Ovis aries: one gene and its partners. The protein of the gene in region 7 interacts with the protein of the main gene of each other region in a pairwise test. Links are inferred from orthologs where the notes say so. Each region holds a gene or a part of one and is shown on either strand. Other genes may lie near its edges. The genes, in order: UBE2I, LNX1, RMDN2, MIEF2, MYG1, ACSF2 and AGTRAP.

Region 1 (4,164 bases), on a different chromosome or scaffold from region 7:
CAACACAAGGGAAAGCGAGCGTGAAACTCTAGCTCCCACGCAGGAGGCCTGGTGACAGGAGCTGCTGCCCGGCTCTGACCACTGAGGACACTCTTCAAAGGCTCTAACCCTGCCCAACCTCAAGATCAAGTCCCAAGCAAGAAGGCCCACACCCCAAAGAGAATTTCTCTTTGCCACCCCCGAACCTCCAGTCCTGGCCCGCTCACCTCCTCCTCATCTGTGGACCTGATGGACAGGACCCTGTCTGGGGTCTCCTTCCCTACACGTGCACACCCATCTGGTATTTTCATTCATTCATGTGATATAAGTTGAAGACCACAAGTGCGGCTGCCCGAAGGCTGACGTGGGCGTGCTGGTGCCCCTGGGTCCTAGTGGTGGTTGCTGGCCACCTGGGCACTGCCTGCAGCACCAGACTGTCCACAAACAGGACAGAGTGGGAGATGCTGGGGTCACTTCCCTCAGGTGGGGAGCTGGCAGAGCAGAGGGGAGTGCCAAGCAGCTTTCAAGTCCATGGGAACATGAGGGCAGTAATCCTGAAGCCTGAAAACCCTTCACTTCACATCACCCTTCTAAACAGAACTTGCCCCCGCCTCATCACCAGGGCAGATGGGAACGCCTCTCCCTCCCCTGGTGGGGGCTTAGGGATGTGCGGAAATCCTACAGGAGCCCCTCACGGGCCAGGACCACCTCTAAACTGTCCCACACGGGAGCTCAGTGGCAGAGACAAGCAGCCTGGCTCTCCGTGCACTGTGAAGTTCCTGCTGAGTCTGCGCTCAGCAAGGCTTCAAGACTGGTTCCTGGAGCCTGGGCAGCACATGGGTTCTGGAATGGGCAAGCTGGCACTCGAGGGCTCTGGAGCGGCATGGCTAGGCCAGGATGTAGAAAAGGCCGGTGGGGTGATCCTCAGTGCCGCATGCCTGCTGACCGCATGCCAGGACCCCGCCACAGGCCACCTCTTCTACTGACAAGGAACAAAGCCGCCTCAGCAGACCCTGTTGGGGCGCCAGCTGTGACTGTCTCAGGTGCAGAAAGTAATGGGAGGGGTGTCCCACAAGAGCTGCTGCAACCCCGTCCTTGGGGGTGAGAACCAAACTGGGCACCTGAAAGACAGATGCTGCAGCCATGGCGGAGTCACAGGCGCACACCTGCCCCCGCCCAGAGAGAGGCTGGCCTCGCTGCCCAGGAGAAAGCAGCCAATTTGCTACATTTTAATTACAACACGGAACCACTCCTTCAGCATCCCACTTAGAATCCAATCAGCTTTTCCCAACTGACAGGGAGGCACTTAAGGAGCTGTTAAGTGTGCGCAGTCTTCAGGGCAGCAAAATCACTAAGAGGCAAAGATCGGGTATCTATGACCTGCTAGAGACAGCCTGAAGCACAGGATCCGGGTCTGGGGCAGACCCTTGAAGTCTGCAGCCACCCTTCTCCAGCGTGGGCTGTGCTTGAACCCACGCTTCTCAGATCAATCTCTGAAGCCACTTACCGGCTGCAGGTGAGGGCCAACGGCTTCCCTCTTCCCCTTCAACCTTCTCACCGGTAAAACGGGCGATAGCACTGTGAGCCCAGAGGTCGGCCCAGGATGAAACCGATAGAGGCTCGCGGCCCTTGGTGGGCTTTCCCACCCAAACGTAAGCTCGCCAGGAGAAGGAAGGCACTGGCTTCACCTGCGCTCAGGAGATCCTCCAGCCCAGGGGCACTTCCCTGGTCTTTCCTGACACGCCTCCCAGGACGCCCAGCTGTTTCCAAAGCAAGCCCAAACCCCCAGCGAGACTCACGTGCAGCACGATGCAGAATTCACCCCCAACCCACCCAAAATCAAGTCAGCACAAACGTGGGCTCCTTCTCCCCCTGCTGCTGGGCAGGTTCTCCGTCCAAAGGCAGTTTCCTTGGGAGCAAGAAACACAGAGGACCACGGGCTTAAGAGCAGACCAACGAAAGCCAACTCCGCAAACCGGGGAGAAACTGCCAACGGAGCTTGTTTTCAAATCGTACAAACCAAACCAGTTACTTCTGTGATTCAAGGACAGCTGCTGGCCGTTACCATCAGCCCAGCTAATCATTCCCTCGCCTTCCTCTTACTCGCGAAAACTATCAGCTCCAGCCGCCGTGCAATTGGTATAAAGCGGTCTTGGGACGAGATCTCCCCGTCAAGGGAAGAGCGAACACTCGGTGGGTCCCCCGCAACGGCGAGCGGAGCTCGGAGGCGCAAGAGCTCTGGCTTGTTTTCGTTTCCAGGCATCACACGCCACCCCCAAACGCGCCGGCGCTCCTGCAGCGCGCGGCTTTGCACTCTTTGTGCAGCGCGTCCTCTACCAGGCTGGAACGCGCCACAGGTTCGCGCGCAGACCGTGACCCCGGAAACGCTCCGCCTGAGCGGAGGGCTTGGCGCTCCTGTCAGCGCGGCCCGAGCCGAGCGCGCCGTCGGCCGCCCCGGACGCGACTCGCCCCGAGCGCGCGCCCGGAGAAGACGCCCCCACCTCGCGGGCCGAGGCCGCGGCGGGCCGGGGGCCGGGCTACCCGAAGGGAGCCCGGCGGGCTGGCCCCCGCCGCGGCGTCAGCAGCCCGGGGCGGGCCGGTCCCCGGGAACGGGCCGGGCCGCGCGCGGAGGGCGCCTGCCCGGCCGGACCCGCCGGCAGCGGAGTTTTGGGCCCCCGCGGCCCGGCGCCCGCCCCGCGGCGCTCACCTCGGGCGGCCCGGCCCGGCGAGCGAGGCGTACTAGGCGGCGGCGGCGGCGGCTGCGCTCCCTTTGTCTCGGGACTTCCCTCCCGAGCCCGCTCCGCGCGCAGCCCGAGCGCTCGAGGACCCCGGCGCGGGCGGGGCGGGGCGGGGCCTGCGGGGCCTGCCCGCCGCGCGCCTGGCTCGCACCCCGCCGCCGCCACCGCCAGCCCCGCGCCGCCCGCGCCGCCGAGCGCCGCCCGCTGCCCGTGTCCCGCCGCCGCGCGCCCGCGCCCCGGGCCCCGCTCGGGAGCCCGGCCCGGAGGCGGCTTTCCAGTCAGGCGGCGCCATGGACACCTGCGTCCTTAAAGGGGCCGCGTCCCGGGTGTGAGGGAGCGTCTGCAAACTCCCCTTCGCGGGGCACTGTTCCTCGCGAGGACCGGCCGGGTAGCGGCGGGGAAGCAGGGCGGCCGAGATCTCCCCGGGCTCTCCGGATGCCCCGCGGGCACCTCCCCAGGCAGCGGTCCCGGAGGTCTCCTCGAGGCTAGGGCCCGGGGCGGAGGAGCAACGACCACTGAGGCCTAGGGATCCCCCAAGCGTCGCAGCACGGTGACAATCTCTCGCCTACGGCATGCTGTGAAACCCCTTGCGATTGGCCAACTCGGGGCCCTGGGCGGGGCATCCGTCTAATGTGCCCAATGAGCAGGCCCCGTACACAAGACCAAGTGCGGGCCCGACCGACGGGAGGAGAAGTGCAGACGCTCCCTAACCCAGGGGCTGGCCTGGGGGGAGGGGCGCCGGGTGGTCCGGGCGGGTGGGGGAGGAGCAGGGGCAGGGCTAGGCCCCTGTGGCCGGGGTCTCAGGTCCGCCCCGAACCCACGCGCGAACGCTTGTCCTTCCCGGCCACGCTGGGCGCCTCTCCGTCTAGCGGCCCCCGACCCCCGTCCCCTGGCCCAGAGTGGGAAAGAGGGAGCGTTCCAAGGTCAGCCCCTCCGCCCGTGGGCTCTTTGGGGTCAAGTGGCGGGAGGTGACCGCCCCCCCACCCCGGCCCCCAGCTTGCATTCATTCACCCCTTCGCCCTGGGTCTCCTCCTTCCTCCGTTTCCTTCCATCCTCCCCACCCTCACCCCCGGCAGCCCCCTATTTGGCACTGTACTGAGACTATTGGCCTCCAGGGCAGACCGCCCAGCACCGCCCCCCCCCCCCCCGCCCCCGCAAGGCTAGTGTCCCAAGGCCCACGTCTGGGCCAGAGCTCTCAGCAGGTGTTCAGCGCTCCCAGCCCGTCTGTTACAGTGAGGATGGTCACTAGCCCTGAGAAGGCCCCGGGCTGGGCGTGGGGTTGAGGTGGGGGCGTCTCCTGAGGCTGGTAGCTCCGCTGGGCTGGGGAGGTAGTCTGCCTAGGGTGCCTCTGGGTCAGCTGTGGCCCAGAGGGCCTGGTTATAGTGCCTGGGGTCCCGGGTAAGGGCCCAGACCCCCTGAGCAGCAGGTGAGCATTCCAGGTCTCTCT
Region 2 (3,500 bases), on a different chromosome or scaffold from region 7:
GGCAAGAGAAAACTTTATGTGGAATATAATTAAGGAGGCTTTTGCTTTTGAACTGTGGTGTTGGAGAAGACTCTTTTTTTTTTTTTAATTTTAATATCTTTAATTCTTACATGCGTTCCCAAACATGAACCCCCCTCCCACCTCCCTCCCCATAACATCTTCCTGGGTCATCCCCATGCACCAGCCCCAAGCATGCTGCATCCTGCGTCAGACATAGACTGGCGATTCAATTCTTACATGATAGTATACATGTTAGAATGTCATTCTCCCAAATCATCCCACCCTCTCCCTCTACCTCTGAGTCCAAAAGTCTGTTATACACATCTGTGTCTCTTTCCCTGTCTTGCATACAGGGTCGTCATTGCCATCTTCCTAAATTCCATATATATGTGTTAGTATACTGTATTGGTGTTTTTCTTTCTGGCTTACTTCACTCTGTATAATCGGCTCCAGTTTCATCCATCTCATCAGAACTGATTCAAATGAATTCTTTTTTACGGCTGAGTAATACTCCATTGTGTATATGTACCACAGCTTTCTTATCCATTCATCTGCTGATGGACATCTAGGTTGTTTCCATGTCCTGGCTATTATAAACAGTGCTGCGATGAACATTGGGGTACATGTGTCTCTTTCAATTCTGGTTTCCTCGGTGTGTATGCCCAGCAGTGGGATTGCTGGGTCATAAGATAGTTCTATTTGCAATTTTTTAAGGAATCTCCACACTGTTCTCCATAGTGGCTGTACTAGTTTGCATTCCCACCAACAGTGTAGGAGGGTTCCCTTTTCTCCACACCCTCTCCAGCATTTATTGCTTGCAGATTTTTGGATCGCAGCCATTCTGACTGGTGTGAAGTGGTACCTCATTGTGGTTTTGATTTGCATTTCTCTAATAATGAGTGATGTTGAGCATCTTTTCATGTGTTTGGAGAAGACTCTTGAGAGTCCCTTGGACTGCAAGGAGATCCAACCAGTCCATTCTGAAGGAGATCAGCCCTGGGATTTCTTTGGAAGGAATGATGCTAAAGCTGAAACTCCAGTACTTTGGCCACCTCATGCAAAGAGCTGACTCATTGGCAAAGACTCTGATGCTGGGAGGGATTGGGGGCAGGAGGAGAAGGGGACGACAGAGGATGAGATGGCTGGATGGCATCACTTACTCGATGGACATGAGTTTGAGTGAACTCTGGGAGTTGGTGATGGACAGGGAGGCCTGGCATGCTGCGATTCATGGGGTTGCAAAGGGTCAGACACGACTGAGCGACTGAACTGAACTGAACTGAATAAGCTGGAAGACTGGCAGAAAGGAAGTTATGATCCTTTTAGTCATTGCAGAAACATTCGGTGAAAACTATTATGTACTAGATACTGTGCTTGGCCTTGAGAACACAAAGACTTAGATAAAGAACCCCTGCCCTCACTGGTAGAGTTACAATAAAAGATGACATTGCTATAACAGAGATGCAGGTGCTTTGAGAACACAAAGGAGAGAGGACTGGGGGAGTCAAGGAGGGCTCCCAGGAGGAGGCAAAGCCTAAAGAGAAATTAGGATGCCAGCTGAAGGCAAGTGAGAGTACAGGTTGGACAGCAACATGGAAGTGAGAGAAAGACAGTATTTACACGATGGCAGACTCCAGCGTTCTTGCCTGGAGAATCCCAGGGATGGGGAGCCTGGTGGGCTGCCATCTATGGGGTTGCACAGAGTCGGACACGACTGAAGCGACTTAGCAGCAGCAGCAGCAGTGAGAGTACTGAGAGCATGTAGTACAGGTACAGGGTAAGAGAGGTAAGAAGGAGCTTATACAACTGCTCAAAGTTCTCTGAGAACATGATAAAGACAGAGGTTTGGGGTTTAGCCACCAGCCTTGAGGGGGCTTCCCTGGTAGCTCAGATGGAAAAGAATCTGCCTGCAATGCAGGAGACCCAGGTTTGATCCCTGGGTTGGGAAGATCCTATGGAGAAGGGAATGGCAACCCACTCCAGTATTCTTGCCTGGAGAATTCCATGGACAGAGGAGCCTGGGGGGCTACAGTCCATGGGGTCTCAAAGAGTCGGACATGACTGAGCAACTAACACTTTCACTCCCCAACCTTGAAGGAGCAGAGGGCAGTTTAATCCAGTGAGTAAACGAGTGGGCTCTGGAGCCAGAGGACACAAATTAAAATCCCAGGACTGCCATTTTCCAGCTGGGTGACTTTGGGCTAGTTACCCAGTCTCTCTAAACCTTGGTTTCTTCTTCTGTAAACTGGGAATCACAGTCCCCATCTCTTATCATTGTGACCTTTAAATGCCTTAGAGCACTGCCTGGCACCCAGGAAAGCTCAAAAGCATTCTTTCAGTTATTATCATTACTGCTGTGAAGCTCTAGCGTAAGATGAAAAGGAAAGGACAGGACAGTATTTTCTCAGCTCCATTTATAGTGAAAAAAAGATATAGAATCTAAGATCCAGAAACGTTATTTGCGTGAATTTTAGAGCCACATTACTTGGATTCCAAGTTCAGAAGGGGCAAACTAAGTAATTGCCTGGTACCTTAGTTTCCTCATCTATAAAACAGGGATGATAATTGTAGCTCCCTCATAGAGTTGTTGAAGAGTACATGAATTAATACATAGAAAACCCTCAGAATCACACATCACACAAGGTGGAGATAAGAATACTCATATGGCATTTCCTGTGTGCCAGGCACTGTTCTAACTGCTCTTCACTTAACTATATTATTCTTTATATACACTAAGCTAAGACCTGAAGGTAAGGGTTCCAAAATCTTTTCCCTCAATCTATGTAAAAAGAGAACAGTAGGGACTTTCCTAATAGCCCAGTTGTTGGGAATCTGCCTTCCAATGCAAGGGATATGGGTTTGAGCCCTGGTTCAGGAACTAAGATCCATGCCAAACTAGAGAAGCCGGTGAGCCGCAACAAGCACCCAATGTAGCCAGAAAAAAAAAAAAAAAAAAAAGGAAAAGTAATTTTTGCCTTTGGTTACTTATATAAGTAGAGTAATCAAGGTAAAAAATATTTATGCCCTTAGGAAGACAGGTGTCGTAGAAAGTAAGGGCTAGTCCTGTGGTCATCACCCCTGGCGTCATTCTAGAAGCCCAGGCCACGCCCAGCCTCATGGGGAAGCAACTTACCATCAAGGACAGTGGTGTTTTCAGAATCCTCTCGTCCCTGGTCAGCTTGGCTGACAACGGTACTTCCACTCTTTGTCCTTCGGAGAACACTCAAGGCTCGGTTTATTTTTTTAAAGGATCTGCTTCTGATGGTGGATCGCTCAAAGGGCCGTGCTGAAGACAAGAGAGAAAAAGGTCTTTTTAATGGACACGGCTGGCAAGATACACAACAGACTGCAAACGGTGATTACTTCGAGGTAGCAGGATGATACAATTTGCTTATCTGTATGTTCTCAGTTTTCTACAATGAAATATGGACGGTTTATTTAAAATCTGCTTGTCATTTTTTCCTAGGCTGGATGGAATATAACAGCACTTTTCTCGAGTT
Region 3 (3,500 bases), on a different chromosome or scaffold from region 7:
AAGCATCTCTGAATAATAAAATAATCCCAAAGAGGTGTGGATTTCTGAAAACCTAGGTCTGAGAGAAGGGTCATAGATAAATTTATTACTAGCACCTAACATATCTATATTGCTGGGGAAAAAAAATAATTAAGGAACTGAGAAATGTTGCAAAAATGCAACTGTGAGTAAAATGAAATATTCATTAAAAACAATACATTTATTCTTGTGTTTTATAATTCTAAATATACAAAGGATCCAAAACAAAACAATACTCTCAAGAATAAATTTCTTGTCCCAAGGATACCCACCTACAACCATCCAACTAATTAAATTTCCTTTGTTTGAGTTTTCTTATATTAGAAATGGCTTTTCTTTCACTTATGGAGTGTGTATACCTTGTCATCAAGGTATAATGGCTGATGTGCTTTTATTCTTTGAAGCATTCTCCCTACATTTAGAAACATGGCATCATTTTAGCATTTGTTTCCAAACAAAATCTTATACAAATATAATTTAATTCGAATTTATCATATTCAAAGTTATTGGACTTGGTAGATTCAGTTATGAAATATTCAATGAAAGTTTATCTTAAAAACATTTAAAATATACATACTGAAAAATACATGAGAATAAACAGAACAATTATTGCATAAATTTTATGTACTTACCATAGATGACAATATCCATTCTTGGGTGCTCTCATAATAGCTTTTTCACCTAATGTCTTTCCTGAAAGATAAATGTACTTACAGTTTGGTACCTTCATGTGAGTTGGTAGGAGGTAAATTATTGAATTAAGCCAGTAGTTCCCAAAAGTATGGTCCTAATACCAGAAGTCATTACCTAGAATCTTGTTATAAAAGCAAATTTGGGGCCACATAGAAGACTTACTCGATCATAACCTCTGAGACAGCTATCTGCATTAACTGGCCTTTAGCGGGTTAATGGCCTTTATTTCTGATACAAATTCAAGTGTAGACTCATTGGACTAAGTGATTTAACCAAATGCAAAAGTCATTCGATCATTATTAATAGATACTGCTTTATAATTAACTCAACCAACATTTACTGAGTACTTTCTAAATGTCATTGTGTGAGCCCCTGGGAATAAAAAGTCAAATAAAACACAATTCTTGACCTCTAAGAATTCATTGTTCAGTAGGCAGCAGGTATATAAACAAAGAAATTATGTATAAAGATAAAGGTTAAAAAGAGCATAGCAGAGAATGGAGAGAGCAACTCTATCTAAAGGAGTAAGGGAAGGTGTCCCAGAGAAGCTCTTATCTAACCATTCATGATAGTGAACACACTCAGTGCATAAATAATTCCCCTAAATAATTTAACTTCATTTTAGAATAACTTTTAATAATCTGTTAATTTCTGGATAGAGGTTTGTCTAAACCACATTCTCAAAATCTTTCTCAAAAAGCTGCTGTTTTATTTCATACACTCTCCTTTTCTCTGCTCTTTTTCTTTTGCTTGAAGAGCAATGTTGTGATCCAATGATTTGAAAAATGCTCTTCTAAATAAGTAGTTTAGATAATCTTTATAAATAAAGATCTTTTATTCTAAAATCATTCTCCTGTTTGTTAAGGTGGTATTCTATAGCTCTCTCCATTAAGAGAACCACGCAGTGTAGAAATCTACACAAATTGGAAAAAAATTAAAAAGCAGTCTCTTAAAATGACAACTGATATTACATTGTGGGCATATATTAGAAGAGTTAATAATTTGATAATGAGTGCTTGAAAAACATAAATATTTTTAATGTATAAACATTAAAACTACATCAACATCTTACCTACATTACCAAGTGAACAAAAATAGCTTTGAGGGCACTGCCTAAAATAGAGGCAATTCCATCGCTCTGAGAATATAAAAGGGAGCCAGGTAGTATACATACTGGTTTTGTACCCTCACTGATGCCGCTTCAGCCTGAAAAGAAACCTATTTCCCGTAAAAAAATTTTTATTTTGTGGTCTATTTGTGTCCATCATCTAATCTTGAAAGTTACAAATATGTTCTTTTAGATATGATTCATATTTGATTTGCAAGACAAGTGTGATCAGTCATAGGACTTCAACAGATGTACTGCAAAAATGGGACACCACAGTTAGCAGGTTAGGAAAGAATTTTATACTCTCCAGGGATCCAATCTTCCCTCCACATAACAAGTTCAAATATACTGTCAGGAGGAGCAAGAGTCGGCAAACTCTTCCTCCTTCATACTGAGTGCCCATGCCCTTCAACTCCAGTCTCCAATTTCCTGCTTCTCTGCCAGGCACTTATTACCTGTGCACTGAATTACAATTGCCTTTCTCTGTACTGATCTTGTCAGATCATTTAGCATTCTGGCTGTTATTCTTTTGTTGTTACTTTAGAAAACAGGATGATATAATGAACAATCATGGACTCATCACTCTGCTTAAACAATTGTCAACTCAAGGCTTATCTTGTTTTACTGAGATGAATTTTGAAAAAACATTAAAGTCTGAGTAGTTATTTCTTTGTGATACCTGGAGTTCTATGTTATAGGAAGTAAGAAGGGTTATTTTAATTTTGGTGAAAGACTACTATTATTATTGCTTTTCAAATTATAACCACTTAATGTATCATCTTTCTACGATTTTATAAATTTTGAAAGCTGGAATTTGAGTTTTTCAGTTGCCTATTTTAATATACTCAAATATTTTTAAAGACCATATACTTTTATCTAAAAATTCATTTGTGTTTACTATAATGATTACTACCTGAGAATAATTAATATTCACAAAATACTTACCAATATTAGCATAATGCTTCTTTTCTTGTGTATTTGTAGATAGCTCATACATGTCTCCATAAGCACGAGCAAACCGCCAAATAAACTCTATTTCATCTCTAAACTGAACACACAGAACTGCCCATTAGATAAACTTAGTAATGTGACTATACCACTGCAACCTTTTAAAAAAATTAGGTAGGTAAACTGGTACTTAGAAATGACTGCATTCATGTGCATATCACACTTTAAATTGAAATATTCATGGCTATAAAGTGTGATCTAGTGTAGTGTTACATTTGGGTCTTAGAAACCAATGAATATTATGCAGACACCAGTTCCGCACCTATGAAGAAGAGAAAACTAAGTGTTAGAATTTATGAATTCTCTCTGGGTGGTAGTATCCTCTCCTTGCTTTCCTTTCTAACTTAACTACTGTCAATATGATGCCTCAATGGGCATTTCACATAATATCTGTAAGTTATTAGAGATTACATATATTCAAAACAGCAGTCACATTTTTTTTTACCTAAATTACCTAAAGAACAATGCTAGAGATTTAAAAACTTTTGAGTTCATGTATTTAGAGTTTCTATATCCTCAAAAGTTAGCCTTAAATTTCTCATGGGAAAGAAGATTTATGGATCTTTGTGATATTGCAAAATCCTTTCTTCCCCTTTGGTGGTGGTGGTGGTGGTGGTGGTGGTGGTGGGAAGGATGAGCTTTGTCAATTCAGTCCAACACTAAACACTGAAAA
Region 4 (4,263 bases), on a different chromosome or scaffold from region 7:
CACACACCTAGTCTTCTTGCATACCTCCCAGGACAGGGTGCTCATCCTCTCTCCACCAGTTCTGCTTGTGACAGGCAATGTCCTGCACAGGCTCTGTCCACCTGGCTAGCCCCATCCACCTGGACCCTCCCCTTCCTGTCCAAAGCTTCTTACCAGCTTCTGCAGGGAGGCCAACTCCTCTGGCAGGTAGCAAAGGCCGGTGCGGTTTAGCTTCAGCCATCGCAGGCTGGTCATGGCCTTGACGTTCTCAGGGAAGTAGCCACCCTGCGGGTACGTCACAGTGAGGCTGGTCTGGGACATGGTACCCTTGCTCTGCCACCTTGTGGCCCCCACTGTCTGTGGGAGCCTTTGGGGGCAATAGTCATTTCTAGTTGTGTGTGTGACCCCAGACACATCACTTGGCCACTCTGTCTCAGTTTTCTCACCCGTAGAATAGGGCTGATGAAAGCCCCCTGATGACAAAAGCGTCCTGAGAACCCACTGGTGATTAGGATGGCTGCTGACCTAAGCCCCGCCTCTCCTGCTGGCTTCTTGGCCCAGGAAGGCTTATTCTAGATGCCACCCCAGAGTCAGCTGTGAGGTCGGATCAACTCAATGTTTTTGCCTTGCATCCAGGCCCTGCCTGTGCAATTTGTTGAACTGCACTTTGTGCCTCTGCCAAGGCCCCACCTGTGCCCTGCCACCCACCCCCTGCATGAGGCCCCAGCTCCCCACCCTTTCCCACACAGGCATAGCTTATTCATTAGTTCACTCACCCATTCGTCCCCCAGACTCAAATGCCCACCTCAGGACCCCAGCCCCGTGGCCAGAAACCTGGGGAGGTTAATGCCTTCAGTGCTCTGGGCTAGTGCCCCTTCTCCCTACGGCCACATTCCCTGCTGGTGACTCACTCTCCTAGACTGAAGAGGACACTTGGGGACTCCAGGTGAGGACGGTGGGGATGGAGGCAGAGGAGTGTGCACGGTGGCAAGTGTGGGTAAATACAGGAAGAAAGGGCCTGTCTCCTCTGCCCTGACCCCAGCCACTGCCTGGACCACTGGACCCTGCAGACCCAGGCTGATGCTCCACTGACGCCAGCCAGGGTCAGCCCACTCATCCACCCTGAGGACCCTCCTGGAACCAGGCCATCTCTCAGGGCCTCCTCTCTGGTCACCAGCCCTCCGGCCTCACTCTCAGTTCTCAAGAACCACTGTCCCGCCCCGAGGCTGGGCTGGTGTTCCCAGCCGCCCTGGTCCGCCAGTTCGGAAGCTGCTCAGACAAATGGCACCCAGGGCCTCGCCCACCTGCCCAACACGTCCTCCACAACTAATCCCCGCCTCCAGGGGTTTCAAGGTAAGCCTCTCCACCAGACGAGAAGACGAGGCTCCGAGAGGGGAAGTGACTTGCCTAAGACCACACAGGATGGGGGTGGCGGGTGCGGGTAGCGCAGAGCCGGCGGCGTAACCATGAGTCAGGGCCCGGCTTGGGCTGTGACCTCACAGGGGCGGGGAGGGCTGGGGAGGCGCGAGCTCGAGCTCCGACCGGGACCCCCGGCCGGCCTGCTGGGGCCAGGCGCCAGGACCCAGCCGGTGAGCAGACCCCGCGCGCCCCTGCGCAGCTCCGGGACCCTACGCGCGCCCGCCCGCCCCGCCCGGCCTGGGCTGTCTTCGCGGGCGCCGGGCGGAGGCCTGGGACGTTGGGCCGGGGCGGGGTCCGGGCAAGCCCGTCCGCGGTCCCGGGCGCGCAGGAAGCGGAGGGGCGGGCTGGGGGTCCCGGCCGTCGCCCAGAGGCTCACCTTGAAGTCGTTGCCGCTGAGGTCCACGCCGCGCACGAACGGCAGCACCCCGGTGCCCTCCATGGCGGCGCTGGGCTGAGGGGAGAGGACCGCGGGCGGGGCCCGGCGCTCGGGGCGGGGACCGCGGAGCCGGCGGGGCGGGGAGCGCGTCGGCCCCGCCTCTCAGCCCGGGGCCGCTCGGGGCCAGCCCTGGGGCGCGGGGCCTCGAGGAGCGCTGTGTCCCGGTGCCCTAAAGGGCCTTCTCGGCCCCCGGCTGTTCCTGAGCTGGTCAACGCCGGGGACCTGGGTGGTTCGGGCGGCAGTGGCAGTAGGACGCCCGGGTCCTCGTCCGGAGCCACGAGCCTCCGGGAGACGCTCCGGGGCCAGTGCCCACACTCTTATGCGTCCTGGGTCGGAGGCCAGCCCGGGTGCGCGGTTACGTGCCCGCTTGCCCCTCGAGGGAGGCCTCCCTGGGCCGGCACATAGCGGTCCCAGTAAGTGACAGGACCAGTATACCCTTCACGGGAGAGGCGGCCGCAGACTACAGTGACCAGGAGCCCCACCGGATGCTTCCTTTGCCAGGAAGGAGCTCACGTTCCCACCTGCCGAGTCCTGGAGCGTGGCCCTGCGCCTTTAAGGCGGAGCTTGCCGAGGAGCCACGCCCCGAGGGGCGCTCGGCCGCCATTGGCCGAGGCCGCCTCAGGGCGGCACGTGGGCACTGGCCTTGAGCGCTCTGATTGGAGTCGGGGCCTGTCCGTCTGCGAGCCTGGGGCCCGTGCCCGCCCCAGGCCTTGGCGTTCGACTCCCGGGTCCTGCACGTTCCATTCCCAGGCGGCCCCGGGGCGCGGCCCGAGCGGCCCCCTGAGTCCCCTGGCTGGGGCGCCGAAGCCGCGACGCAGGTACGGCCGGGGCACGGGGCGTGGCCTCTATCGGCCGCGCGGTTCCGGCCGGGAGAGAACCGGCTCGAGCCGAGTTCTGGTCGCTTCTTGGGCCCATCCTGGCGTTCCCCGGGCCTCGGTGTCCTCGCGGCCGGGGCTTGGAGGAGGCTAGGGGAGGCGTGGCCTTTCCCTCTCCCCTTCCCTGGTTAGGGTCTGCGGGCCCCAGGTCAGACAGGCAGGGGCTTTGAGCGCTTTACAGTTTGGAGGCGGTTGGCAGTCCTGATGAAGGAAGCCGCCGCCGGGCCATGCTGGGTCAACCCCCTCCGCTGTCTTTCCTATTTTTAGCTTGGGAAAGGGGGATGGGTGCGGGGCTGCAGGCCCCACTTGGCAACCGGGCTCCGGCACCCGGTTCTGGGAGCAGGGCAGCCAGAAGTCATTGGGGCTGAGTTGGCTCTGAGCTCAGCGTCATCTGTTCAGGCATCCTCAGGGTGACAGTTCTGCCTGGCCATCTGACTGGTCCCTTGGGCTTGTCCCTTGGTCACACACCCCCCTCAGTGCTCAGGGCCTGAGAGCTGGGGCTCAGCCTGCAGGGCCTGGCAAAGATGCCTGAGGTCCCAGCCATCTGTACTTCTGGGTTCTGCATGTCTAATGGTTTCTCGTGGCACCTGCTCCATCTTACAGACAAGCTAAGAGTATCTGGCACACTCAGGCCCTCAGCTCACCTGCTGTGGCCTGGGCTCTCAGCAGCTGAGACCCCTCCCCACCCACTGTTGTCCCGAGTCTTAGAGGCCCTTGTCCAGGGCACTGGACCAGCCCTGTTGTGGTTTTTAGAGTCCCCTTACACCCTGTCCCCACAGTGGAGCCTTCAGCCTTGTCTGACACATACCTGTTGACAGCCAGCGCTTGCCCCCAGGGCATCCTGGGGCATCTCACTTGTCCTGTTCTCTGACTTGGTGGCCCTGCCTCTGGGGGCTGCCCTGCTGAGATTTGGGGGTAACTGTGGCCCCCTGAACTTCGCTGAGGTTCCCTCAAAGGCCTGAGGCTGTCCAGTGCAGGCTGCCTGGGTCCCCAAGCCATGGTCTTCTCTGGGCCTTGTTTTTCTCCTGCAGGGCCTGGTTAGGAACCAGGATAAGGCTGCTTCTGGGACCTGGTCATAGGGTGGGTCTGAGTCCCCACCACTCATTGTGTGGTCCGCAACCTATTTCTTTGTAAATGGGGATGGTGCTGATAAGACCCACCTCATGGTCTTTAGTGACATTAGGGGGCCTGGAAGGTGGGATCAGGGAGATTGTCTCCCTTCTCTGACCTCGCCATGGGTCTTAGGGTCTTTCTCTGTGAGCCCCTTGTCATACAGGTGGGTTGTTTGTAGGTTTTGGTTGGGGGAGGTCTCTGGGCCAGCTCCCAGTCTCCTCCCAAGAAAACCTGCAGGTGGCCCCTTTCTCATCGGAAATTCTCTGGAAGCCCCCTTGTGACCCCAACTCTGACCATAGAGCACCTGCTGGATGCCAGGCCGGCCCCTCACTGAGTGGCCCCTGCACCCTGGCTCCCTTACAGGCAGACTGACCATGGCGGAGTTCTCCCAGAATAGGAGCAAGCGGCGTGACGGCGAGGTGCTGGGAGGCGCTGTAGACT
Region 5 (4,058 bases), on a different chromosome or scaffold from region 7:
TGTAAACATCAGAGATGAAAAAAACTAAGACTCTGTCCCTGCCTTCAAGTTTATCTTCCTAAGGCACACGGACAGGGACACATGGCCACACACAGCCCCCACGCACACTCACATGAGCAACCAAAGGAATGCTCCAGCTGGTTATAAACAAGGGCTCAGGAGAGGAAAGCACTTAGGAGAAGAACCTTCAGGTCATTCTTGGAAGATGAATTAGTGGGTGTGTGCCAGACACATAAAGGGGGAAGGAGAAAAGGCATTCCAAGTAGCGGGAACAACATGTATAATGCCTAAGAGAGAGGTATCCATGGATCTGCAAGAAAGCAGCTTGGGATGAGGAATGAGAGGCAAAAGATAAAGCAGGAGTTGGACCAGGGCAGGCCTTGAATGCTACACTTCAGAGTTTGAAGTTTATCTGTAGGTAAGGAGGAGCCACTGAGAGACTTTAAGCAGGCCGGAGCGTGTCAGAAAGTGCGTTGTGCCAGCCAGCATGGAGAAGAAATCCAAGATCACCTGCAATGTGCCGGGTGAGTGAGGAAGGCAGGGACTTGAACAGCCTTGGGACAGAGGGCACGGAAATGGTATGATAGTTGTTAGAACAGTAGAAACCACAGCTCTAATTTCTAAATACCAGTCCAGTGGTATCACCAAGGAAGCTCATTTTTTCGTTCTAATGACTTTTATTATTAAATATTTATTAAGTAAACACAAAAGTACCTATAAAATACTCATAAGGTATAAAGACTAATAAAAATAATGTCCCAGAAAAGATTCAGGAAGAAGCAAAACTAAATAAATAGTTGATGCAAACAGATAAGACATAAGTGCTAAACTGTACACAAGAGCAAGCAAGGACATGATGAACACAAAACTCAGGATGTTGCTTACTCTTGGGGAGGTGGGGTTGGGATGGGGAAGAGGCACACAGGTACAGGTGCTAAGATAATGGTCTATTTCTTCAGCTGGGAGATCAGTTCTTGGGTGTTCATTTTATATTCCAGAAATATTAAATATATTGTTTTACATGTCAAAAATGGCACAAATTTTTTTTAAGTATATAAAATTACCAGAAAAAGGACGCAGTCAATTACATCAAGTGCCACAAAGAAGGCAGTTAAGGTGAGAGGGTTAAGGTGACAGGTCAGTCAGTTAACCCTCAACCAGCAACCTGAGTCTGGCATTGAGGTCACTGGTGCCCTTTCCACCAGCATTTCCGGTAGAGAGATTGGAAAAGACCCGGCTGAATGAATGATAGGATGGATAGAAGCAATGAACTGAAAGAAATGTGGAGCCAGGGTCAGCTCTTCTTTTGAAGAATGCCTGAGAAGTGAGGGTGAGATTAGGTTGTATACACTGGGAGCATTCCCTCTCCACATCACTATGAAAAGTAATATGTATACTTAAAGAAGAGAAAGACAGGGAGGGAAGGAGAGAGAGAAAGAGAGAAACAGACTTCAAATACCCTCATGATACCCCAGAGATAACCATTTTAAACAGCGAGGTGTATGTGCGGGAGGGGGTTATGGGTTTTTTTCAGTCCTTTGTTTTCAAGACAGGAGATGCGTAAACAGAGTTTCTTTCTTCAGATAAGAAGTAGAAACGCTGATATAGAGTCCCAGAGCAGGAAGTGATACACTGGAAAAGGGGCAAACAGAACGGTTTCCTGAATTGGAAAGAGGGAGTTGATTCAGGAGGGAGAAACTGAGGAAGTACCCGCAGGAAAAGCTCAATTTCTTTTGAAAGAAGAGAGACAGGATCACTCACTGAGAAAGTTTGATGAGGTAGGGGCTTGAGGCGAGGGAAAAGGATTGGAGAGGTACTGGGGATTCTGGCCTCTCGGCCAGAACGATCTCCCAGGGGTAGAGTGTCAATGACGTAGAAGACAGCACACACTCACCACCTGCCACAATCACGTGGGCCCAGCAGCCTGAGGTAGGGCAGCAAGGGCACAGGAATGGATTAATCTCTGCTGGGGTATTCAGTGAGGTAAAGATAAGGCTGCTGGGAGAAAAGCCTGGCGGAGCCAAAGAAGGAAGTGAATCGGGAAGGGCCCCCGGGGTGACCAAGGGACGCCACGGCAGACGCGAGGGCTCAGCGAAGCACAAAGCCACCTAGATGGGTGCAGAGTAGGTGGAGCACTGGAAGCATGGGAGACAGCAGTCCCATGGGATTCAACATGAGGCGGTTCCCTTCGCTGACAAGAACCACGGCAGTGGCCTGGGGCACTGAGAAAATTAAAGGAATGGTAGTGAGTCCTCACCTCTGGTGATGGTCATATCGGTGTCTCTGAGGGTCGTACTCGCCACCCACGTCTACCACGATGTCACAAGCAGCCAGTTTCTCGGGGTCTCGGGTCCGCACGATCTCTGCATCCTGCAGGAGACACAGGAGGTGAGGGGGTTGCCAGGGTCGCACGGGTAGGGGATTAATGTCGGGCTTCCAAGGAGCAGAGGAGGGGAGAAGGGTGCTCGGGCGGGACACCTCTAGGAGGACGCGGTCCACCCCGGAGATTTGGCGGCATCCCCCGGGTCAGTTCGCGCGGCCTGTACCTACCCGGTACTCCGGCAGGAGGCGCAGCAACGCGCACGCCAGCGCCTCATCGCAGTGGAAGGTGCCGTTGTGCGTCCCGATTCGGGGCGGGGCCATGAGGTGGCTGCGGGGTCGTTTGGAAGGTGGGACAGGCTCCAGGCTGAGCTTGAGATGCGGGCTCCGGAGCGGTGGCGGCGGCAACAGCAGAGGGAGGAAACCGCGCAGGAAGCGGCGGCCCATGCAGCTTCCTCCACGAGGAGTTAGTAAGAGCGCCGACCCGGAAGGGGAAGCGCCTGCGCAAGCCCACTTCCGGTTGCCAGCTGTTCCTATGGCAACGGGCCGCGCAGAGGGCCTGCCACCCAGCATTGAATTTTTAAAAATTATTATTGCTTTTATTTTACCCAGGGCTGGACCACTGCTTTGCTACCTGGTGCCCAAAGTTGCATTAAAAACAATGCTGAGAGATCATACCTTGAAGTATGGCATTTTGATGGCATTTCCCATCTTCTCAAATTTCTATACCACAGTTCACTTATTTTTAATTTAATTGGAGGCTAATTACTCTACAATATTGTATTGGTTTTGCCATACATCAACATGAATCTGCCACGGGTGTACACGTGTTCCCCATCCTGAATCCCCCTCCCCATACCATCCCTCTGGGTCATCGAAGTGCACCAGCCCTGGGCATCCTGTATCACCAGCATTGAATTTTGACTCTAGTTCCTCACAGATTCCCAAGTGAAACCCCCAAGATGAGCACTGCATCACTCCTGCTTATCAGGTTCTGGGCAGGGGCACACCCTCTTAACACCGCCCTCCCACCTCCTCACTAGTCCCTTGCCTAATGCAAGAAAAGACCACCACTCTGCCCAGTTGGCTCATTTATTAGCATTAAACACAGACCCTCTTCTTTCCCCAATCCGGGAAACCACATCCACAAAGTCCCAGGCCCCGGAAGCAGGCACCCTCTGCCCCATTTCTGAAACAAGCTCTCAGGCCTTAGCGGTAGCCTGAGCTGCTCCCAGGGTTGTGAGCTGCTGAATCTTCTGGCTCATCATCTCCATGACAGCTGTGGAATAAAAGAAGAGTCAGACCCTGGGCAGGAGCTAAAGGGGAGAGCTCAGAGTTAAGGAAAATTGACAGGTAGACTACTACAGTTATTTAACTTTCAACACAGAGATTCACTGTAGAGGGCAAACACAACACCAATTTAGAATCTAAATTGTCAATAATATGAGATGTGAAAGTCACTCAGTCATGTCTGACTCTTGGAGACCCCATGGACAGAGCGGCTCCTCTGTCCATGGGGATTCTCTAGGCAAGAATATTGGAGTGGGTTGCCATTTCCTTCCTCAAAGGCTCTTCCCAACCCAGGTCTCCCGTATTGCAGGTGGATTCTTTACTGTCTGAACCACCAGGGAAGCTCATATGAGAATAATATGAGAACCACTGGGATATAAAAACGAACAAAATACAGTTTCAAATGAGTCACATATACCCAGAAATTAATAATGTGGAAAAGATGTTTG
Region 6 (3,500 bases), on a different chromosome or scaffold from region 7:
TCCACATCTCCTCATACCCACCCCACCCTGCGGTGGTCAGGACCCTTTGTGGGGGGTGGTTCTCTCAGGGGGGTGGCCAGAGTGGCGCCAAGGTGTACTTGGCAGAAGCCACCCCTGGGCAGTGGCCCCAGGACTGTAAGGGTGGGTGAGAGGGCTGGGTCCCGACAGCTCAGGCTTCACGACCCCAGGTCCTGCGGGCTGGCCTACCCCGGCCAACTGGGTCTCTGTGTGTCTCCTTGAGCCACGATGGAAACAGGAGGGTGGGCAGGAAGAGTCACAGCTCTGGCCCCAAGGCAAGCTCTGGGCTGACTGGTAGGAGTTCTTGTCTGTGTTGGGGGGTGAGAGGAGGAACCAGACCCCAAGTCTTGCCAGACCCCAGCTATGCGTGATTCATGCCCGCTAACACAGAGGAAATTGAGGGTAGGGTAGGGCTGCGGGACGAACAGAGGTCTGGTGTATTTGCTGGCTGGAAGGAACCTAACCAGCCCCTCTCCCTTCATCCAGCACTCAGGTGCGGAAGCCTGCCGTCTCCTAAGCCCCTTTCAGCCGTTGCCTCTGGATGGGGGTCATACTTGGGCCAGAACACTGTCTTGTGGTATTCCTCCAAGGCTGACTGCTGGTTTTCTGTTGCTCAGGATGTTCCAACCACTAGAAGGGGGGCTAGGGTGTGTGCCACTGGCTTTGTAAACCCTTGCGTTGGCTGTATTTTTATTTTGAGCAAAACAAATTTACAGGAAACTTTCCAGAATTTGAAGGGGGGGGGCACCCTACCCCAAGACCAGGCATTTATCCTGGGTTTCGAGTGGATGGGGCAGGGTAGGGGTAGGTGGCTGGTATCTGTGTAGCTCCCATCTGGGCCAAGGCGGGCTGGCTTTCTCATCAAATTTATGGATTCTTCAGCTTGGAAAGAAGGGGCAGGGGATGCTATAGCCTGAAATCAGGAAGGGGGTGTTAAGACAGCCTGAGGATGGGGTGGGGAAGCTGAGATGTTGGTAACTGGGAGCCACAGGCTAAACCATGTGGTTGCTGCAAGCAACCGGGAAGAGTGAGAGCCTGGCTGGAAGAGAATGGCTTCCCTGGTCTCAATTTTATTTCAGACCTGGGCCCCCTGCTAGCTGAGCTAGTCTGATTCTATATCCAGTGCCTTTGCCTCCTGACCCCTGACCTCTGCCAAATATGCCTCTTTTCCCACTGTTCAACTGCTTCCATCCCCCACAACCCACTCCCCACCCCAGGTCCTTCCCTCAAAGTAACTTCCCCATCCTTCTGCTCCCCAGGCTCTGTTCCAAACACCCTTTCTGGCTCCTCTAGGTGGCTTATGGAACCACAGAGAACAGCCCCGTGACCTTCATGAACTTCACCGAGGACACTGTGGAGCAGAAGGCAGAAAGTGTGGGCAGAGTCATGCCTCACACAGAGGTGGGCCCCAGACACCCCCCCTCCCACCACTCACCTGGGTGCGGCCCCTGGGACATTTATTGCTTTCAAATAAGAGATCCAAACAGCTCACTCCAGACACTGAGAGCCCCCAGCCACGAGGTCTTCCTGGGCCTGGCCTGGGGCTTTCTCTGTGGGCTGAGGCCTGAACTGGGAAGAGCTGGAACAGTGGCCAGCTGCCAGCTGAACTTCTCTGCAGCCTCCCTTCCTGTCTGAGGTGTGTTTTTGCCAAGCCCACTGTCTGTTTTGGGGCAGCCAGAACAGCCTCATAGAGGAGCCAGAGCACAGAGATTTTTCCTACACAGCTCTTTCTCTCCCATAGCCTTCTCCCCCCCACCTCCAACCTCATTTCAGCAGATTTCCTCTTTGTGCTTGGCATAAACAGTTTCCCAAATAGCTTCTCCCTCTGGGAGTCCCTTGCATCTTGAAGACTGACCCAGAGCACCTTTCACTCTCAAATTCCCAGCCTACAGTGCTGGTGCTTATGCCAGCATTCCTTGTTTCCCCTCCCGCCTTGGACCTTGCCCCTCTGGGATTACTGCCAGTGTGCTTCCCCTCGGGCCAACCTCTCTCCTCCCTAAAGTGAGTGTGCACTGACACCAGTCCCTCCCATGTGTCACTCACTGAGAGGCCCGCCTGTGAGGCAGACAGGCTGGGTGCGGTTCTCCCCATTTCACAGATGCAGACACGAGGCACAGGCGCTAAGCTTTCCTTGCCCAACAGTTATGGCTCATTTCTCAACCAGGCTTTCAGATTCTGCCTGTCTGCCGCCTCTCCTGTTCACGTGGCCCTGCTCTGCCACCCTCTTTGGCTTCTTTATTTACTGCTTAGTGGGAAGTAAGAGGAGACTCCCTTCCTTCTGCACAGTTTATAATTCTTTAGCTGGCCTGGCCCCCCTTCTGGCCTCCTTCTCTGAGCAGCTCCCACCCACTCTGTTTCCTCAGCACCTCCTGACTTGGGCCTCAGCTGTTCTTTCATGTCCAGCTCAGGTACCCAACTGGTGAAAGATCTACTCAGCCTGCGTCTCCATTCCTTGGGGATGGGCAGAGCCAGGGGGCTTCATTATAGGGGGAAAGAAGGCAAAGCTCTCCCCATTCCTGAGGCCCCTCATCCTGAAGTGAGAGGGTGGGAGGCCCCAGCCTGAAGCTGCCTGGTCCCAGGCCCAGATTGTGAACATGGAGACGGGGACGCTGACAGAGCTGCACACACCTGGAGAGCTGTGCATCCGAGGGTACTGCGTCATGCTGGGCTACTGGGGTGAGCCCCGGAAGACCGAGGAAGCAATTGGACAGGACAAGTGGTACCGGACGGGGTGAGAAGGCAGGGCAGGGTGGAGCGGTTGGCTGCCAAGGGGAAGCTGGGGGTCCTGAGGCTGAGTTGGGAACACTGAACTAGAACTGGGAGAACCAGTTGTCAAGATAGCCCCTTCACATCTCGGAGACTTAGTTTCAAAAATGTATAAAATGAGGATGATCATATTCTCCAAATAGGGCTCCTGGAAGGACCAAACACAGTACAGATGAGAACTCCTAGGGTAGTGCCTGCAAAATCTGAGCCTAGATTCAGGCAGTCATTTAATTCAACAAATTCTAATTATGCACCCGCCATGTGCTAGTACTGTTCTAAACACTGGTGGTCCAGGGGAAAGCAAAGGGGAGGATCCTGCTATTACTTCCCACATGTCTGATGGAGGGAGACAGATACAGTCAAGATCATTTCCTACATTCATAAACACAACTAATAAGACAGGATCACAGGAGAGAGAGTGGCTGTGGTGGAGAAGGGAGATTCTTTTCTCTTTGGTGATCAGAGGAGGCTTCTCTCAGGTGGAAATGTTTGGGCTGAAACCTGAATGGTAAGAAGCCAGCCCCAAAAGGTGTATGCATAGATATGTCTAGAGAGAGAGCAAGAGAGAGAGAAATATGCTATAGGTATGGGTTTACTTAGTTTGGTCTGCCTTCTATGTGAGATAGTTCCTCCCGTATGATCCAGGTAATGTCTTGTTTGTGACATATGTCCCAGAGTCTAGAGTCGCGTAAGACATACAGTAGGTGTTTCCTAAG
Region 7 (4,079 bases):
CTGGGAAGCCCCGAGACAAGGCAGTCCCTGACTATTGTGCAGTCAGGTTCCGGAATTCTTAACCCTCATGCTATACTAACCCCCTGCACCCTCCTCCCAAGGGCCTTTTCTCACAAGCCCTCATGAACCCAAGTCTAGAACTTTCTAAACTCTCACAATGACGTTCCTTCAGCTCAGGACTTGCCTCATGTGTGGCATTGGGTTAGGAACTACCTGGAGGGCCCGGGGCAGCTGCTTCTGTTCACCTGGCACCACTGCCTACTGTGGGTGGGCTGGGCACAAGCAGGCACTGAGCCAATACCCCAGGAATGTGTGAAAGGAGGGCAAGGGTAGTGCAGGGTTGGGGGGTTGGGCATTTTCTGAGCTCCCAAGGGGTTCTGATCTCAGAATAGCCCACTTAGACTCCTGTGGGAGGCCAGAAAAAACAACAACAAAAACAGAACCCCTAGTTAATCTTTAATTTCAGATAATGAATAATTTTCTAGACTGTTCCAAATATTGCCTGGGATATAAGGTCCACTGGAGAAGGGATAGGATAACCCACTCCAGTATCCTGGGGCTTCCCTGGTGGCTCAGCTGTAAAGAATCCTCCTGCAATGTGGGAGATCTAGGTTCGATCCCTAGGTTGGGAAGATCCCCTGCAGAAGGGAAAGGCTACCCACTCCAGTATTCTGGCCTGGAGAATTCCATGGACTGTACAGTCCCTGGGGTCACAAAGAGTTGGACACGACTGAATGACTTTCACTTTTCATACTTAGATTAAAAAGTTATTCATTGTTGATATGAAATTCAAACTCAACTGGATGTCCTCAATGTCACCTGGCAACCCTAGCTGTTCACGACCTCTCAGCACTTACTTGTCTCTGATTGGTAGCAGCTAAGACCCTTAGAGATATGGTGTTTTATTTCCCAAGTCAAAGAAAGGACCAGCTATTTCACTGTGGGCAGTGAAAGCCGGCAAAGCTCACATCTGTGGTCACGTGTGGCCTGTGAGGCCCACAAAGTTTCTCCAAAAAAAAAAAAAAAAAAAGCCACAAACAGACTAAGCCCTCCCACTGGGCACTAACTGTCAAAGCAGAAGTTGGCCCTAACTAATGGTGGCCAGGAAAAGACAGAGCTTTGAAGTCTGACCGTGATGGGTTCAAATTCTGACTCTGCCACTTAATCTCTGTGGGGCCTTGACAAGTTACCTATCTGGTCTGAGCTGAAGTTGGCTCAGCTACAAAAATCTCAGAAGGTTGATACGACTAAATAAATAACCCGGCACACCACAGACGCCCTAAGAATTAGGGCTCACTCCCTCGTCAGTTCCTGCTCCTCTGTCCCTTTCCTCCTTCCCCCTTAATAATTATTTTAGGCAAGTCTCTAATCAGAGAAAAGGTAGTCGGCATTAACTGCACACAGCCTGGAACAGAGTGAATGTTGATACCAATGAACCTCAGTTGCCCTCGTGTAAATTTCTTCCCTGCTAAACCTTCAATCCAAGCCCATTCCCTTGTCACAGCCATCTCTCCCCCTGCAGCAGTTGACTGGAAGCCTCGGAGAGGTCTGCTGAAGCAAGTGTTCAATATTAAGGAAATGTGCCCACGTGAAGTCACAACACAGACCATGTCTAATAATCCAAATATGGATGATGTATTGTTCTGTAGTCATCTATCTCTTACTTTAGGACCAGACACCATGGGTGCATAATGCTTTGTCAAGGGTGAATAAGAGGGTACTCCTGCATACAATCTCAAAGGAAACTGTACCTAGGCCGCAGATGGCAGGTCTGGTCCAAGGCTAAAACCTTTCTGACCAAAGCTAAAGGCTTCAGCCTCTCAGTGGCAAACCCAGCCAAGAAACACTGGGCTGGAGGAGGGCGGGGAGAAAAAGAAGAACAGCCTTTGGCATTCTTACAGCTCAGGAAATGAAGACACCCCAGCGACCTACAGTGTTTTCCTAAATGTGCAAAGTTGGGGGATTCTGCTTTTGAGTAAATTCTATTGGTGTCTGTGTTGCTTAAGAAATAAAGACGTTGAATCTATCAACTCTGAAAAACCATCTGTCTGGGATCATTTGATTTCCTTAACTTGATCTTCCCAACAAGAGAGGCGGTAAGGGCAGTGTTGGGGGTCCAGGTGAAAGCTTTACCCCTCTCTCGGTGGAAGGCAGGTGTCCTGCCTCCAAGTCCAGCCTCGGGCTCTCCTTGGGTCCCTCCCCACCACGCTCTCCTCTTTCTCCAGAGAAATTCTGGGCGCGCAGGCCAAAGCGAGCCTCAGGGGCTCAGCGCTCCCAGCTGAACCGGTCTTAGGGAAGAGACGGCTGCTTCCCTCCTCCAGCTCCCTCTCGGTCTTTCCTGCTGGCCTTCTGGATCTGTCTTCCTGGTATGGTCTGTCCGCCCACCTCCTTACACCTGGGCTCTGTTCGTTCTCTTTCTCCCCACCACTCCACTTTCCCCAGATTCTCGGTCCTCTACCTCTAAAATCCTCACCTCTAAAATCACCTACTAAAAGCGCAAATACCCAACACGCTCCGGGAGACCCGCCCCGCCCATCGCCACCTTCAGGTTCACGGCTGGCAGCTCCATCGCGACCCAACCGGACAGCACCTGCGCCACAACCGCGGGGGCTCCTGGTCTCCGAACTCGGGAAACAAACTTGCCCAGCCCCGCCCCGCCGGCTGCCCTTTGCCAGAGCTCCAACCCCAGCTGGGCTGTGGGGGGGGGGTCACGTGAGTAGGTCATGTGACGACGGCCCGGTATCTAGGAGACGGCGTCGTGCTGCTTGAGCCTTCACTGCGCCACTGCCCAGGTAGTTACGGGGCGGGGCCGGGGACGGGGGCGGGGGCGGGCCGGGGCCGGGGCGGGGGCGGGGCCGGGGGCGGGGGCGGGGGCGGGGTGGCGGGCGGCTGGAGAATATCCAGATTTGTGTCGCAAAGGGCGCAATATCTCGCCGAGTTAAAATCCCAGCAGGTGGGCTGACGGGACCACCTGCAGCCAGGAGAACTTGGGGGAACCTCCAAGTACAATCTGCAGATGTGGTAACAGCTGGTGTCTCATCCCTGAGGGCACAGTCTCTCCTCCCTCCTTCCCCAGTGAAAGTGAAGACGGTTACCTACCTCATAGAATCCTTCTGAGGATGAATGAACTAATTCATGTTTGAAGAAAAAATACTGACACTTACTTTAAAGGTAAGGAAGACTTATTCAAGACTGTTGGGATCCCCTTGGGTCTGTCCCGCTGAGTGCTTATTCTTATTTCCAGGAGGGGAGAGACCACGTGGAAACCTGAAAGACTGGCTGGGTGGGTCCTAAGATCCTATCAAGATACAGACTCTAGATACAAAGAGCGGAGTTTTCCAGGTGGGTGTGGAGTCTGACACGACTGAGCGACTTCACTTTCACTTTTCACTTTTATGCATTGGAGAAGGAAATGGCAACCCACTGCAGTGTTCTTGCCTGGAGAATCGCAGGGACGGGGGAGCCTGGCGGGCTGCCGTCTATGGGGTTGCAGAGAGTCGGACACGACTGAGGCGCCTTAGCAGCAGCAGCAGTGGGGTCTTCTGCAAGGTCGCGGAGTCCGCTGGCCTATTTGAATGTCCCTTTTGGAGACACAGCTGTCCAGCCCCCTGAGCAGAATAGCACATCTGCCAGAGTAACAGAGAGCTGGTAAGCTTCAGAGACCGGACAGATAGCTACACTGGGCACGATTGTTGGGATTCAGAGCCCAGAGGACTAGCTGGACCAGAGAAAAGAGTTTGAGTCCTAACTTTGTCCACTTACTGGTTCTACTTGAGCAAGTCACTTTGCCTCTCTGTGCTTCAGTTTTCTGATCCGTAAAATGAGAGAAATAATAGTATCTTCCTTGAAGGATGGTTATTTTGAATTTGTTAATAAGGATTTGTTAATATGTAAAAATGTTTAGAACATTGCCTGGCAGACAGCCCTTGATCAGGACTTGCTACTGTTTTGATATTCATTATTAGTTAATTATCATAAATTATTGTTACTGGCATAGTACCTAGAAAAGAGGAATTCCTCAGTAACTAGTGGATATTATAACATTATTGTTTCCTTCTAAGAGATGTCTCCTATAAACC

Evidence for each region.
Region 1: the proteins of AGTRAP (region 7) and UBE2I interact in a two-hybrid assay, tested with the Homo sapiens proteins (2 studies listed by BioGRID and IntAct). The two-hybrid records come from large-scale screens. The link is inferred for Ovis aries from reciprocal best matches to the Homo sapiens genes AGTRAP and UBE2I.
Region 2: the proteins of AGTRAP (region 7) and LNX1 interact in binary tests that used the Homo sapiens proteins (3 or more experiments, as listed by UniProt). The two-hybrid records come from large-scale screens. The link is inferred for Ovis aries from reciprocal best matches to the Homo sapiens genes AGTRAP and LNX1.
Region 3: the proteins of AGTRAP (region 7) and RMDN2 interact in binary tests that used the Homo sapiens proteins (3 or more experiments, as listed by UniProt). The two-hybrid records come from large-scale screens. The link is inferred for Ovis aries from reciprocal best matches to the Homo sapiens genes AGTRAP and RMDN2.
Region 4: the proteins of AGTRAP (region 7) and MIEF2 interact in binary tests that used the Homo sapiens proteins (3 or more experiments, as listed by UniProt). The two-hybrid records come from large-scale screens. The link is inferred for Ovis aries from reciprocal best matches to the Homo sapiens genes AGTRAP and MIEF2.
Region 5: the proteins of AGTRAP (region 7) and MYG1 interact in binary tests that used the Homo sapiens proteins (3 or more experiments, as listed by UniProt). The two-hybrid records come from large-scale screens. The link is inferred for Ovis aries from reciprocal best matches to the Homo sapiens genes AGTRAP and MYG1.
Region 6: the proteins of AGTRAP (region 7) and ACSF2 interact in binary tests that used the Homo sapiens proteins (3 or more experiments, as listed by UniProt). The two-hybrid records come from large-scale screens. The link is inferred for Ovis aries from reciprocal best matches to the Homo sapiens genes AGTRAP and ACSF2.

Annotation. Positions count from the first base shown.
Region 1 is NC_056077.1:1,565,832-1,569,995, reverse strand, and holds the start of UBE2I (SUMO-conjugating enzyme UBC9), read right to left. Parts: upstream 2,801-4,164; 5' UTR 2,687-2,800; intron 2,323-2,686; exon of another isoform or gene 2,083-2,322; intron 1,860-2,082; exon of another isoform or gene 1,779-1,859; intron 1-1,778. UniProt on the Homo sapiens protein: Accepts the ubiquitin-like proteins SUMO1, SUMO2, SUMO3, SUMO4 and SUMO1P1/SUMO5 from the UBLE1A-UBLE1B E1 complex and catalyzes their covalent attachment to other proteins with the help of an E3 ligase such as RANBP2, CBX4 and ZNF451.
Region 2 is NC_056059.1:69,720,114-69,723,613, forward strand, and holds part of LNX1 (E3 ubiquitin-protein ligase LNX), read right to left. Parts: exon of another isoform or gene 3,467-3,500; intron 3,370-3,466; exon of another isoform or gene 3,287-3,369; coding exon 3,134-3,286; intron 1-3,133.
Region 3 is NC_056056.1:86,123,972-86,127,471, forward strand, and holds part of RMDN2 (regulator of microtubule dynamics protein 2), read right to left. Parts: intron 2,868-3,500; coding exon 2,765-2,867; intron 712-2,764; coding exon 651-711; intron 1-650.
Region 4 is NC_056064.1:34,132,896-34,137,158, reverse strand, and holds the start of MIEF2 (mitochondrial dynamics protein MID49), read left to right. Parts: upstream 1-1,463; 5' UTR 1,464-1,568; intron 1,569-1,774; coding exon of another isoform or gene 1,775-1,837; exon of another isoform or gene 1,838-1,865; intron 1,866-2,576; exon of another isoform or gene 2,577-2,652; intron 2,653-4,185; 5' UTR 4,186-4,196; coding exon 4,197-4,263. Other genes in the region: FLII (protein flightless-1 homolog), read right to left, coding at 154-264, 1,775-1,837. UniProt on the Homo sapiens protein: Mitochondrial outer membrane protein involved in the regulation of mitochondrial organization.
Region 5 is NC_056056.1:133,200,041-133,204,098, forward strand, and holds the start of MYG1 (MYG1 exonuclease), read right to left. Parts: upstream 2,801-4,058; 5' UTR 2,767-2,800; coding exon 2,551-2,766; intron 2,371-2,550; coding exon 2,258-2,370; intron 1-2,257. Other genes in the region: PFDN5 (prefoldin subunit 5), read right to left, coding at 3,522-3,598. UniProt on the Homo sapiens protein: 3'-5' RNA exonuclease which cleaves in situ on specific transcripts in both nucleus and mitochondrion. Involved in regulating spatially segregated organellar RNA processing, acts as a coordinator of nucleo-mitochondrial crosstalk.
Region 6 is NC_056064.1:35,974,818-35,978,317, reverse strand, and holds part of ACSF2 (medium-chain acyl-CoA ligase ACSF2, mitochondrial), read left to right. Parts: intron 1-1,311; coding exon 1,312-1,419; intron 1,420-2,597; coding exon 2,598-2,749; intron 2,750-3,500. UniProt on the Homo sapiens protein: Acyl-CoA synthases catalyze the initial reaction in fatty acid metabolism, by forming a thioester with CoA. Has some preference toward medium-chain substrates. Plays a role in adipocyte differentiation.
Region 7 is NC_056065.1:41,204,312-41,208,390, forward strand, and holds the start of AGTRAP (type-1 angiotensin II receptor-associated protein), read right to left. Parts: upstream 2,801-4,079; 5' UTR 2,726-2,800; coding exon 2,591-2,725; exon of another isoform or gene 2,570-2,590; coding exon of another isoform or gene 2,543-2,569; intron 1-2,542. UniProt on the Homo sapiens protein: Appears to be a negative regulator of type-1 angiotensin II receptor-mediated signaling by regulating receptor internalization as well as mechanism of receptor desensitization such as phosphorylation.